3 linked regions of the Sus scrofa genome follow. The protein of the gene in region 3 purifies or fractionates together with the protein of the main gene of each other region. This does not show direct contact. Links are inferred from orthologs where the notes say so. Each region holds a gene or a part of one and is shown on either strand. Other genes may lie near its edges. The genes, in order: DCAF7, AXIN1 and MAP3K1.

Region 1 (4,302 bases), on a different chromosome or scaffold from region 3:
AGTTCCCTTAATAAAAAGAGCCCAAACCACTAGCCCAGGACAGACAAGCTCTCCTGCCCACTGCTTCCCTTAGCAGTATATTCACTAAACCTCTTCTAACCTACTTCTAAAAAAAATAAATAGTTTTGCCTTTTGCTATGCTCACGGCACTCGAAAGTTCTAGGGCCAGGGATCAGATTGAACCAGAGCCATAGCAGCAACTCAAGGCGATGCAGTGACGACACCGGATCCTTAACCCGCTGCACCATGAGAAAACTCCAAAAAATGTTTTTAGTAACTATGAGTCATATGGTTGGTTTCCTTTGTAATCCCATGTATTTTATGCATTTGAAAACATAATTATGAACAGAGGTCTATTGGCTTCCGACTGCCAAAGCTGTCCATCAAACACATATACACACACAAGAACTCTGACCTGGGGCAGGGGACACAAAAACCATTTTAAGACACCACGTTGCCCACATTACGCAAGTGAGTTAAGACAGAGGTAACTGCTTATTCTATTACTACTGGGATTATCAATTAGCATTTTACGACTAAAACCACACTGCCTGCGTGCCTGGCACAAAGAAGGAGCTCCATAATTGAAAGGATAAATTTGGGGGCAGAGTTCCTGCAACCAAAGTTTGACACCAATTACTCCACTGATTCTACCAGCAGCCTAACTGTGGCTTGGTTTCTCATCTCTTAGAAATGGGGCTGCTACTGCTTACCTAAATTGACCTTGCAAGAAAAAAAAATCCATCCGTCTGTGTGAAAAGACTCAAGCCCTTTGAAAGATGTATTTTACTACCACCCCCCCTTTGTTTAAACATGTATTCTTAAACAACAGTTCTAGTGCTCTCAACTTTACTAATTCAGTTTACACATCAGGACCCTGAATTTCACTTTAGCAGCTCTGCGGTCCACTATGTGCCATAAGGAAGAAAGAGGCTCCAGAAGAAAAATAAAGCTATGTCTTTTCAGGACTCTCTGGTTTCTGTGGGAAATCGTGGACTCCGAGATCAGTGCATACTTTCAGGGATTTGTTTGTAAAGTGTGTATGTGGGATGTCTGGGCAACAAGAGTCCATTGTTCTCATCAATTTCTCAAAAAGGATTACAAAAAATTTAAGACCTAATTTTTTTGGGGGGAGGGAAGGCATACATACAGCATATGGAAGTTCCCAGGCCAGGGGTCAAATTGGAGCTGCAGCTGCCGGCCTACACCACAGCTCTAGCAACTTGGGATCCAAGCTGTGTCTGTGACCTACACCACAGCTCCTGGCAACGCCAGACCCTTAACCCACTGACCAAGGCCAGGGATCCAACCAGCCTCCTCATGGATCCTAGTCGGGTCGTCACTGCTGAGCCACAACCAGAACTCCTTAAGATCTAATTCTAAGATGTGCTCCTGAAAACCTGCAAACAAAATTACAATGCTCAAATGTTTTCTAAAGGACTTCTTTCCTACAACAAACTGTGGGTCAGAAATAATAAAACTTACCTATGCAGTGTCCCACAGCTAATCAGTGGACTAGACAAGGCCTAATCCTAGAGCACCTGGCCTTTTCCCCTGCACCATGCCTCTGCCCACAATTTATTCTTAAATTAGACTGTTCCTGGTGTCAAGCAGGTGTACAGGTTTTAAACACCACTAAGCATGGCTCTCAGTTGCTCTGATCACTATCAGTCAATCACAACGCTTACTCTAATACAATAAATGGCAAACTACGGAGTAATGGAAAGAAAATTCTTTCCACTAACTTATTCAACTTCCAAAACTAAATTTATGTGTCACTGCCAGCTTCAAGCTTCCTCCTATTAACCGCGCTTCTAAAAAGGATTCTCAAATTGTGGATGTCCAGAAAGACTTACTTCTACTCCAGGTTACTTGTCTGTATCAGCATGAAAGATGCCAAGAAAACAAATGGCAAGCATCACCCTTTTCTATGCAGAAGACAATAGCCATTGGCAAGATTTCCAAAAAGAGATAGCTTTGAAGAGGACGAATATGAGGCAGCAATAGCAATGGCAATCCCGGCAGAAAGGCTGGGGAAATCCAGGGAACAGGGGGCGGTGAAACCTGCTAAACAGTCCTAATAGAAATCTAGTGTGGCCAGGGGAGAAGGACCACGGGGCTCCAGCATCTTCTTCGCAGCCATCACTCCCTCATCCCTCCTCCGCCCCCCAACTGAAGCTGCAGGAGAGGAGGGGATAGGCGTGATAAACGGCACAGCTCTGCGCTGCAAACTTGGGTTTGAGACCTGTTTCCGTCACGCAATAGCTGTCTGACTGGGGCAAGTCACAACACGGTGCCTCAGTTCCCCCATCGGTAAAATGCGGGTAACTACACTCCTGACTACCCAGGAATGCTGCAAGGATTAAATGAGACGAGAGCGAAACCCTCTGCACAGGGCCAGACACAGAGGAACCGCTCCGTGGCGCTAAGGCAGGTCCGCAGGAGGGTCCTGGGGTCTGAGCTCCGGCCGGGAAAGGGCGCTCCAGGTGCCCGCGTCCCTCTAGCTGGGTTCCGAGCCCCTGCCCGGCCCACCTTGTTGTTGTACTCCTCCACGAAGCTGCCCAGCGCCAGGCGAAAGCGCTTGTCGGGCCGCACGCTCCAGTTCATGGCGTAGACGGTCCAGGGCGCTTCATACTTGTAGATCTCCTTCCGTTTGCCGTGCAGGGACATAGTGGCGGCGGCGGGGCCGCAGTGCGGGCCGGGACGGCAGCGAGCTGCGGCGGGCGGGGCGCGAATCGGGCAGGGAGTCAGGCCTGGGACGGAGGGGTCCGAAGGGAGGCGGGGCGGGGGCGGGTACGGACAGCCTAGCCCGGAAGCGGGGCCGCTGCTACAGACAACGACAGCCGAGCCCGACCCCCACTTTCAAACCTGCTTCGGCTCGGACAACAACCACCTTCCGTTTGAGACCCCGCCCCACCCTCTAGAACGGAAGCCACGCGACCCCCTCAGCGGCGCCGGCCGTTGGCTACCTGACACGTCCTTTCGAACGGCTCCTTCTCCTCATTGGCTAGTGTACCCGTAGCTTCTGAAACCTCCTTGCTATTGGTGCGTATGGTTGTCATTCCGATTACTTGCTCTGCCCAACTCCAGGGGGCAGGCGCTTTCACAGCCACAAAGGTCATTGGCTGACAAAGATGTCAGTCAGAGAGATAACGGCGCAGTGCGGGTGAATCGGGGTGTGGGCGGCTTAAAAGCTCGCGTACTGTGCAGCAGGCCTCCAAGTTCTAGGCCAAGTCTCTGAGAGTGAAACCTCTTACGTGACTGCTCTGACTTCCCCACTGCAGCTGCTATTCTGACCGGATTCTCCACGTTGGCGAGTGAAAATGAAAAGTCTGCCTTACGAGAGGGCCTGCTGCGTTTCGCGGCACTGAGCTCCCGGGCCTTGCGGACGGGCCTGCGCCGAAGGGAAACCCCTTTATTTCCCTGCTTCGCCAACGCCTCCTTTAAATTGGAATGTTGTTCTCCCAGCGTACCAAGGGCAGACGGCGGACACGCCGCTCTACTCAGGACCAGGCCAGCTTCAGTCAACCTTTCCTGGCCATTCTAGAAGTGCTTGGAATTAGAGGATTGGTCTTCAGCAGGCAGCAACCCCGCCAGCGTGGCTGTCAGCTTCTGTTTCCATCTTTTCCCACGAGCGTCCCAAGGCAAATGCTAATCTAGCCTTAAATATATAAGTGTCTTGAATTTGAAATGGGGAAGGGTCAGAATCTAGGTAACATCTCTTTATAATTTAAATGGTTTCCAATAATTTGCTTTCAACAAAACTAAGCAAAAAATTGTATTGAATTGTTAGATAATATATCATTAAATATAGTATTTAGTGGAGTTCCTGTTGTGGCTCAATGGAAACAAATCTGACTAGTATCCATGAGGACGCAGGTTCGATCCCTGCCCTCGCTCAGTGGGTTAAGGATCCGACATTGCCATGAGCTGTGGTGTAGGCCAGCGGCTACAGCTCTGATTCGATCCTTATCGTGGGAACCTCAATAGTTAGGGCACATGTGACCTTAAAAAGACTATATATATATAGTTTTTAGTGATAAAAGTGATTGTTAACAGAAAACTCAGAAAGAAGGACGCACGTTTGATCACCAGCCCCACACAGTGGGTTAAGGATCCAGGGTTGCCACAGCTGCAGTGTAGACGGCAACCGCAGCTGGGATCTGATCCCTGGCTAGGGAACTCCATATCCATGTGCTTCCAGGTGGCCAAAAAAAAAAAAAGAAAGAATTCAAAGAATTGAGTGACTGAGTGACACTGTTTAATGTAACAAACTCCTCACAGTCCTATCCACTTCCGTAG
Region 2 (3,646 bases), on a different chromosome or scaffold from region 3:
ACTGAGTGAGGCCAGGGAGCGAACCCGCAACCTCCTGGTTCCTAGTCGGATTCATTTCCATTTTTAATTGCATCACTTGCTCCTGCTGCATTCAGAGTGGTCTCAGTGAGTGGATCCACTATCCTATTCTTGGCTTTCTGTGTGTCGGATCTGCTATTTTCTTTCGTTCTTCCTGACTTCTTTTTCAATTTTTATTTTTTTTAAATTTTGCTTTTTAGGGCTGCACCCGTGGCATATGGAGGTTCCCAGGTTAGGGGACAAACTGGAGCTGCAGCCGCCGGCCTACGGCACAGCCACAGCCGCGCGGGATCCGAGCTGTATCTGCCACCTACACCCCAGCTCACGGCAACGCCGGATCCTTACCCCACTGAGTGAGGCTTGAACCCACGTCCTCGTGGATGCCAGTCGGGTTCGTTAACCGCTGAGCCGCGGCGGGAGCTCCTGGAGAACCTTTTACTTTCCGTCCCTCCCTGGAATAAAGTCATCTTGCCACTACTCTTTCCGTGGCTCCTGCAGAGATGACAACAGAGACCCTCACTGCACTGGGTTAAGGGATCCAGCACCGCCACAGCTGCAGCAAGGAGTAGGTCCCCGGTCCAGGAACTTCCACATGCCGTGGGCACGGCCACTAAAAAAGCAAGCAAACAAACGAAACCCACCAGCATTGCCGGCACTGCCTTGTCCCCACAGTCACCTCGCGCTCCCCACACTCCTGCCCCCCACCCGCTCTCCCTTCGGCCCCAACACCTTAAACGGGACCTTCGGTAACAGGCTGCTGGTGACAGCTTCCTCAACGTCTGCTGGTCTTAAACTGTCTTGATTCCCCCCCGTACCCTTTTCTTTGGCCGCACTCGCAGCATAAGTTAGTTCCCAGGTCAGGGATCAAATCTGAGCTGGATCCCCAACCCATGCGCCACAGCAGGAACTCCGCTCCTTTCTTCCTTTTTTTTTTTTTCCTGTCTTTTTAGGGCCACACCCTACAGCATATGGCAGTTGCCACGCTAGGGGTCTAATCAGAGCTGAGGCCGCCAGCCTACACCACAGCCACAGCCACGCCAGATCTGAGCCACATCTGCAACCTACACCACAGCTCGCAGCCAGATCCTTAACCCACTGAGTGGGGCCAGGGATCAAACTGCATCTTCATGGATACGAGTCGGGTTCTTAACCCACAGAGCCACAAGGGGAACTCCCTGGGTTTGTTCTTTTCCCTTTGTGCATAAGAGGTGACGTGTGGGGAGATACTTTAGGCTCACACACAAATTCTATGCATACCCATCAACTGGTCTACCTTCATTGTTTTGGGGGTGTTTTATTTCCTTTTATGGCCAACCCCACAGCACATCAAGTCCCAGGGCCAGGGATGGAATCTGAGCTGGAGCTGCAACCTACACCACAGCCGCAGCGACGCCGGATCTTTAACCCACAGTGTGGAGCCTCCGCAGAGACCAGGCAGATCATTCACCTGTGCGCCACAGTGGGAACTTCTGGACCTCTATTTATTAGCTGGTGTCTGGAAACTCTAAGGCAGGCTCTTTTTCTCTCCATGTGTATTTGCGTCAGTGTGGACGCGCAAGTTGGTACTTTATGCAGTGGATTATAATCCTCTGCCTTCATCTCTGCTCTGTGAACACTCCCCGCCCCCTGCCCCAGCCCTGACGGGTCTCCACCAAGAAGGTGTCTGTGAGCTGTGCTATTATCTGGATCCACAAGGCTTTTATCATCATCCTGTATCTCTCTCTCTCTCTCTCTCTTTTTTTTTTTTAATCTTTTTGCCTTTTCTAGGGCTGCTCCTGCGGCATATGGAGATTCCCAGGCTAGGGGTCTAATCGGAGCTGTAGCCACTGGCCTACACCACAGCCACAGCAACAAGAGCTCCAAGCCACGTCTGCAACCTACACCAACCACAGCAACACCGGATCCTTAACCCACTGACCAAGGACAGGGATCGAACCCGCAACCTCATGGTTCCTTGTCGAATTCGTTAACCAGTGCACCACGACGGGAACTACATCATCATTCTGGATCTTTAAGTGCCTGGGGTTTTTTTCTTTGCTTTTTAGGGCCGCACCCACAGCATATGGAGGTTCCCAGGCTAGGGGTCGAATCGGAGCTACAGCTGCCGGCCTGCACCACAGCCACGGCAACGCCGGATCCTTACCAGTGAGCGAGGCCAGGGATCAAATCCACAACCTCATGATTCCTAGTCGGATATGTTCCCGCTGTGCCACCTCGGGAACTCCATTATGTGCCTGATTTTTCATTCAGCATCTGGTTATTCTGGATGGAAAGCCAGACACCGTGAGTGGAAATTCTTCTGAACCCGCAGCCTAGGATGTGGCGCTCTCCAGAGCATGTGCATGAGACCCGGGAACCCAGCCACCTTAACCCAAGTCAGGAACAGAGAGTCCACCCCCCGCAGGGGGAACCCCTTCCCAGGCAGGCCTGAGCCGCCTGGACCCCTAGGGCCAGACACACTACCCAGCTCGCCTGCCTGACCAGGGCTCTCGACCCTTCCTGTGTGCTCAGCTCTCCGACTGCTGCAACTCGATTAAGAAAACCCAGGTCCAGCGTTTCTAGCTCTTCTCGGCAGGAGGTTTGCATGGACTGCCCGCCTGTCCAAAACCACAGGTGTGAGGCCTCCTACTCCGGAAACCCTCTGGATGGAAGAGGATCCCTAAGTCTCGCTGCTCCCAGGCCGAACACCAGGCAGGCCAAACACCAGGCAGGCCTCTCCGCCCTCCGGCCCACCTGCAGCCTGACCCGGGAGCTCGCTGCCGGCAAAGCCCCACAGAAGCACTTCTGTACCTCCTCGGCCAGCAGCCCCGAGCAGAAGTCTCGGGATCCACACTCGGAAATTCAGGCACATACTATTTGTGCTTCAAATCATGCCCATTTGTTTCGCAAAAAATAATGGCTTAAGTGGCTTACCAGCGTCCGCACAGCCTCCCAGAACCGCTCAGGTACCCAGCCCTCAGTGATTTCCCACACGCAGTGTGACAAGCAAGCCTCTGTTCTTGGGATAAGACAGGCCCTGTGCCACGCACTCCACCTCCACGTCGGCCTGGGGGAAACAGCAGGGGCCAGGCCCTCCGCGCCACAACAACTTCCCCAGGCAAGCAGGGAGGTCTCTGAGGAGCAGATAAGGTGCACTTTGTTTCTGTTTTTTTAATGTTATAACCTGGCCACATAAAAGCAGCCAAACCAAACACCTCCCAGAGTTCTATTTTGGTGTTTACTGGCCCCTGGAGTCCCCAACCGGTGGGACCTTGATCCCTTCAGGTCACAGGGCCCTGGCCCGATGCAGGTGCATACACTGGTGCGAGGCGCCCACCGCTGCTCCAGCAGCTGACAGCTGCCCAGCAGCACCAGGCACAAGAGGTGTCCTGTGCCACTCCAAGGGTGGCCCAGCCATAAGCGAGGTTAAGCAGGAAAGGCACTTGCCACAGGCCGGGCGGGGCCAAGATCACAGCCCAGCGGACAGAGCGGGGCTGGGGCAGGAATGCGAACAGCGATTAAGCTCCTTCCAGACCCGGAAGCCGAGAGAGACCCGAGGAGAGACGGAGCCTGTGTGGAGCCCTCCTGGCCGGGTACCAGCACTGTGCCACCCACTCCTGACGGATGCTGGAGGTGGTTCCGACTGTGT
Region 3 (3,646 bases):
TACTTCTTTCTTTTGTTGCTGTCCTATTTCATTAATAGTATTTTACTGAGTTTTTAATCTGTTTTTTGATTTTAACATATGAGGTCATTTGCGGTTTTTGTTGACAGGTGCCAATTTGCTAATTGACAGCACAGGTCAGAGACTGAGAATTGCTGATTTTGGAGCTGCAGCCAGGTTGGCATCAAAAGGAACTGGTGCGGGAGAGTTTCAAGGACAGTTGTTGGGGACGATTGCATTTATGGCACCTGAGGTGAGAAACAGCTTTGAGTGTGATGAAATATTTTGCAATTCTGTGTGACAGCATTATACCAAGTAATTCTGCAGTGTTATCCACTATGTGCTGACTAATTAGAAGTTTATGGCCCTAAAAACAAGGTTTTAATGATAGCCTTGATTTCAGACCATTAATCCCTGCCTTCCCATAGCCTTTAAGCAAATCTATTAAAACCTATTTCTAACAGAGAATTATTGGGTAATTTATAGTAGTTGTTTTGAACTCAACCCAAAGTACACATAATAGAAATTTTTTAAATTGTTCTCTATTACAAGAGGAGATGAGCACACAAAAGCAAATCTTAGTAGAAGCTTTAGAAGTAGTACCAGTTGTTTAAGCGTTGCTGCTTTGACCTTGGCCGCCTCTTCTGTTGTGTTTAGAACTCTTCATGTTCATACATAGTGATTATTGTCTTCTTGCCCTGTAGTTTGCTAAACGTACTGAGGTGGCTTTGAAATTCTATGATACAACCCTGCTTCAGGATCTCACAATTCTCCAAAATATTTTTGTTCCACATATGAGATAAAGTTTGTTAATGAAATAAATGAGACATCAGGTAGTCTATGGAATTGCTGTCTCAAGCACTGTTTTACTCTGAAGTAAAAAAACTAGAATCCATAACTACAGAATGGCTTTTTTTAATGAGTCATATTTCCAAATTAACCCTCGGCTTTATTTTAGGTCCTAAGAGGTCAGCAGTATGGTAGGAGCTGTGATGTATGGAGTGTTGGCTGTGCTATTATAGAAATGGCTTGTGCTAAACCACCTTGGAATGCAGAAAAACACTCCAATCATCTTGCTTTGATATTTAAGGTAATTGTGAGATAAATTACTTATTTTTGCTAAAATTGGCAAGGGGCAAATTTTCATGGGTTCTCCTTAACTATCAACCTAACGTGAAGGCATATCTTCCGTGAAATAAATACATGTTTATATCTCCAGGAATTTATGTGGTGTGGTGAATGTTGGCAGCATATACAGTCACTTCTCATTATTCATGGTAGTCAAGTCCCTGAATCTGCAAATACTGAACCACTGCTTCTGGATGAAATATGTATCTATATATGTATATATCAAACATTTGAATTAAAAAACTTGAAGCTCTTTACGTATTGCATGATCAAAAATTTTTTATTCTAATTTATTATGTCCTGTATTTTAAAAATTCACTCCTGGAGTTCCTGTCATGGCACAGCGGAAACTAATCCAATTAGGAACCATGAGGTTGCCGGTTTGGTCCCTGGCCTCGCTCAGTGGGTTAAGGATCCGGGGTTGCTGTGAGTTGCGGTGTAGGTCGCTGACACAGCTTGGATCCTGCATTGCTGTGGCTGTGGTGTAGGCTGGCAGTTGTAGCTCCAATTTGACCCCTAGCCTGGGAACCTCTGTATGCTGCAGGTGTAGCCCTAAAAAGCAAACAAAAAATAAATTAAAAAATTTCACACGTAAGTCAGAGGCCAAGTCTGTTCTACTTTGCTGACAACTCTCAAATCCATTCTCTCCATTTCTACCAGAGAATAGTGTAATGATTGAGATTTATTCTGCCCACCTTCTGTTTTCTTTTTTTTGTCTTTTTGTATTTTCTAGGGCCGCATCCACGGCACATGGAGGTTCCCAGGCTGGGGGTCTAATTCGTAGCCGCTGGCCTACACCACAGCCACAGCAATTCCAGATCCGAGCTGCGTCTGCGACGTACACCACAGCTCACAGCAACGCTGGATCCTTGACCCATTGAGCGAGGCCAGGGATCGAACCCGCAACCTCATGGTTCCTAGTCGGATTCGTTCACCACTGAGCCACAACAGGAACTCCTTGTTTTCTTATTGATAAAATGGATATAATAGTAGCACCTACTTCATTAATTATTTATATTATGAGGATAAACAGAATTACCTCTGGGCCTGAATAAAGCACTTGGCATACATAGTCACCTCTGTGCAGAGTGGCTAGTATTAGTCCTCTGAGCTGACCCCCAGCACCTCTCACCTGCCCTAACCTCCTTCTGTCCTCCCCATGCTGATATAACTTCCTCAGTCACCTGAAAAATATCAGTGCAGTTGTGTTTCTGATGTACTAAATTGACTGGCCAGGTGTAGTCTTACTTACTCTGAATAGCTCTCTGCGCTAAAATATATATATATATATTTTTTTCATATATATAAATGAAGCAAAGAGGGCAGACTCTTTTGGAGAGTGAATATGAGGAAAGCAGAATTGATCTGAATGAATACTTTACTTCTCTAATAATTCTGATGCACTTAGCCTTGTTCATTTACGACAATAAAGAGAATTTGTAGTACCATCTGATCAGGATGCGTTTGGTCAAAGTCTAAAATCCTAAAATTTGAAGGAAACCTCTCATCCATGGGTGAGTTTTTCCATAGACTCCTTGTTAGCAAAAGCCCGCCCACTTCTGTTTTAATTCCTCTAGGTACAGGATGCCTCAACAGAGGTTATGAAATATATGCCACATGTGATTCTTTATCAAAAGTTCCAGTTGTCGGGAGCTTTAACACGAGGGTTTTCTCTTACAGATTGCCAGTGCAACTACTGCTCCATCAATCCCGTCACATCTGTCTCCTGGTTTACGAGATGTGGCGCTTCGTTGTTTAGAACTTCAACCTCAGGACAGACCTCCGTCGAGAGAGCTACTGAAGCATCCAGTCTTCCGTACTACATGGTAGCCATTATACAAACAAACTATAATGGAGACAGGATGCTTAACAAGAGAAAAAACTTTTGTGGGGAACCACGTCGATAATCTACTGGCCTTTGTGCCACTGAACAGCTATGAATGAGAACAGTGGGGAACCCTTACCTAAGTATGTGATTGACAAATCATGATCTGTACCTAAGCTTAGTATGCAAAAGTCCACAATTTGTGCAGAAACTGTAAACCGTGCCTTTCAAAGAACTGGCCGTAGGTGAACAGGAAAGCAATGAAGTTTGCATGACTAATTAACAGAAGCATAATTTTTTTGGAGCACTTTTTCAGCAATATTAGCAGCTGAGGGGCTCAGGATCAATTTTAATGTTTCAATTATTCTTCCATTTCATATTGTGGTCACAAGCAAGGGGTTCTGCAGTTCTTTTTTTTTTTTTTTGGTCACTGGTTATAAAAATCATCTGCCTCTTTTAGGTCAGAATATGCTATAAGTAGCAGAAATAAATATATTTTTTAAAAGTTGATAACTTCTTTATGACCTACAGTTGACCTTTATTTTTTTAAATACCTGGGCAATTGTGGTTCATTGTGCATTTTACTGTTGGCCAATTCATTTCTTTTTTGGAAATTATGGTTCTATATTTTCATTTCACCTTCACTTTTGTTTAATATTCAGGGAAAGGTGATCTTTTCAAACCAGAAAAAAAAAA

Evidence for each region.
Region 1: the proteins of MAP3K1 (region 3) and DCAF7 purify together in Homo sapiens (affinity purification with mass spectrometry; 3 studies listed by BioGRID and IntAct, with this or other methods). This does not show direct contact. The link is inferred for Sus scrofa from reciprocal best matches to the Homo sapiens genes MAP3K1 and DCAF7.
Region 2: the proteins of MAP3K1 (region 3) and AXIN1 purify together in Homo sapiens (affinity purification with western blotting; 5 studies listed by BioGRID and IntAct, with this or other methods). This does not show direct contact. The link is inferred for Sus scrofa from reciprocal best matches to the Homo sapiens genes MAP3K1 and AXIN1.

Annotation. Positions count from the first base shown.
Region 1 is NC_010454.4:15,348,075-15,352,376, forward strand, and holds the start of DCAF7 (DDB1- and CUL4-associated factor 7), read right to left. Parts: upstream 2,923-4,302; 5' UTR 2,671-2,922; coding exon 2,533-2,670; intron 1-2,532. UniProt on the Homo sapiens protein: Involved in craniofacial development. Acts upstream of the EDN1 pathway and is required for formation of the upper jaw equivalent, the palatoquadrate. The activity required for EDN1 pathway function differs between the first and second arches.
Region 2 is NC_010445.4:41,368,787-41,372,432, reverse strand, and holds part of AXIN1 (axin-1), read right to left. Parts: intron 511-3,646; coding exon 364-510; intron 1-363. UniProt on the Homo sapiens protein: Component of the beta-catenin destruction complex required for regulating CTNNB1 levels through phosphorylation and ubiquitination, and modulating Wnt-signaling.
Region 3 is NC_010458.4:35,941,686-35,945,331, forward strand, and holds part of MAP3K1 (mitogen-activated protein kinase kinase kinase 1), read left to right. Parts: intron 1-107; coding exon 108-250; intron 251-955; coding exon 956-1,087; intron 1,088-2,805; coding exon 2,806-2,955; 3' UTR 2,956-3,646. UniProt on the Homo sapiens protein: Component of a protein kinase signal transduction cascade. Activates the ERK and JNK kinase pathways by phosphorylation of MAP2K1 and MAP2K4. May phosphorylate the MAPK8/JNK1 kinase.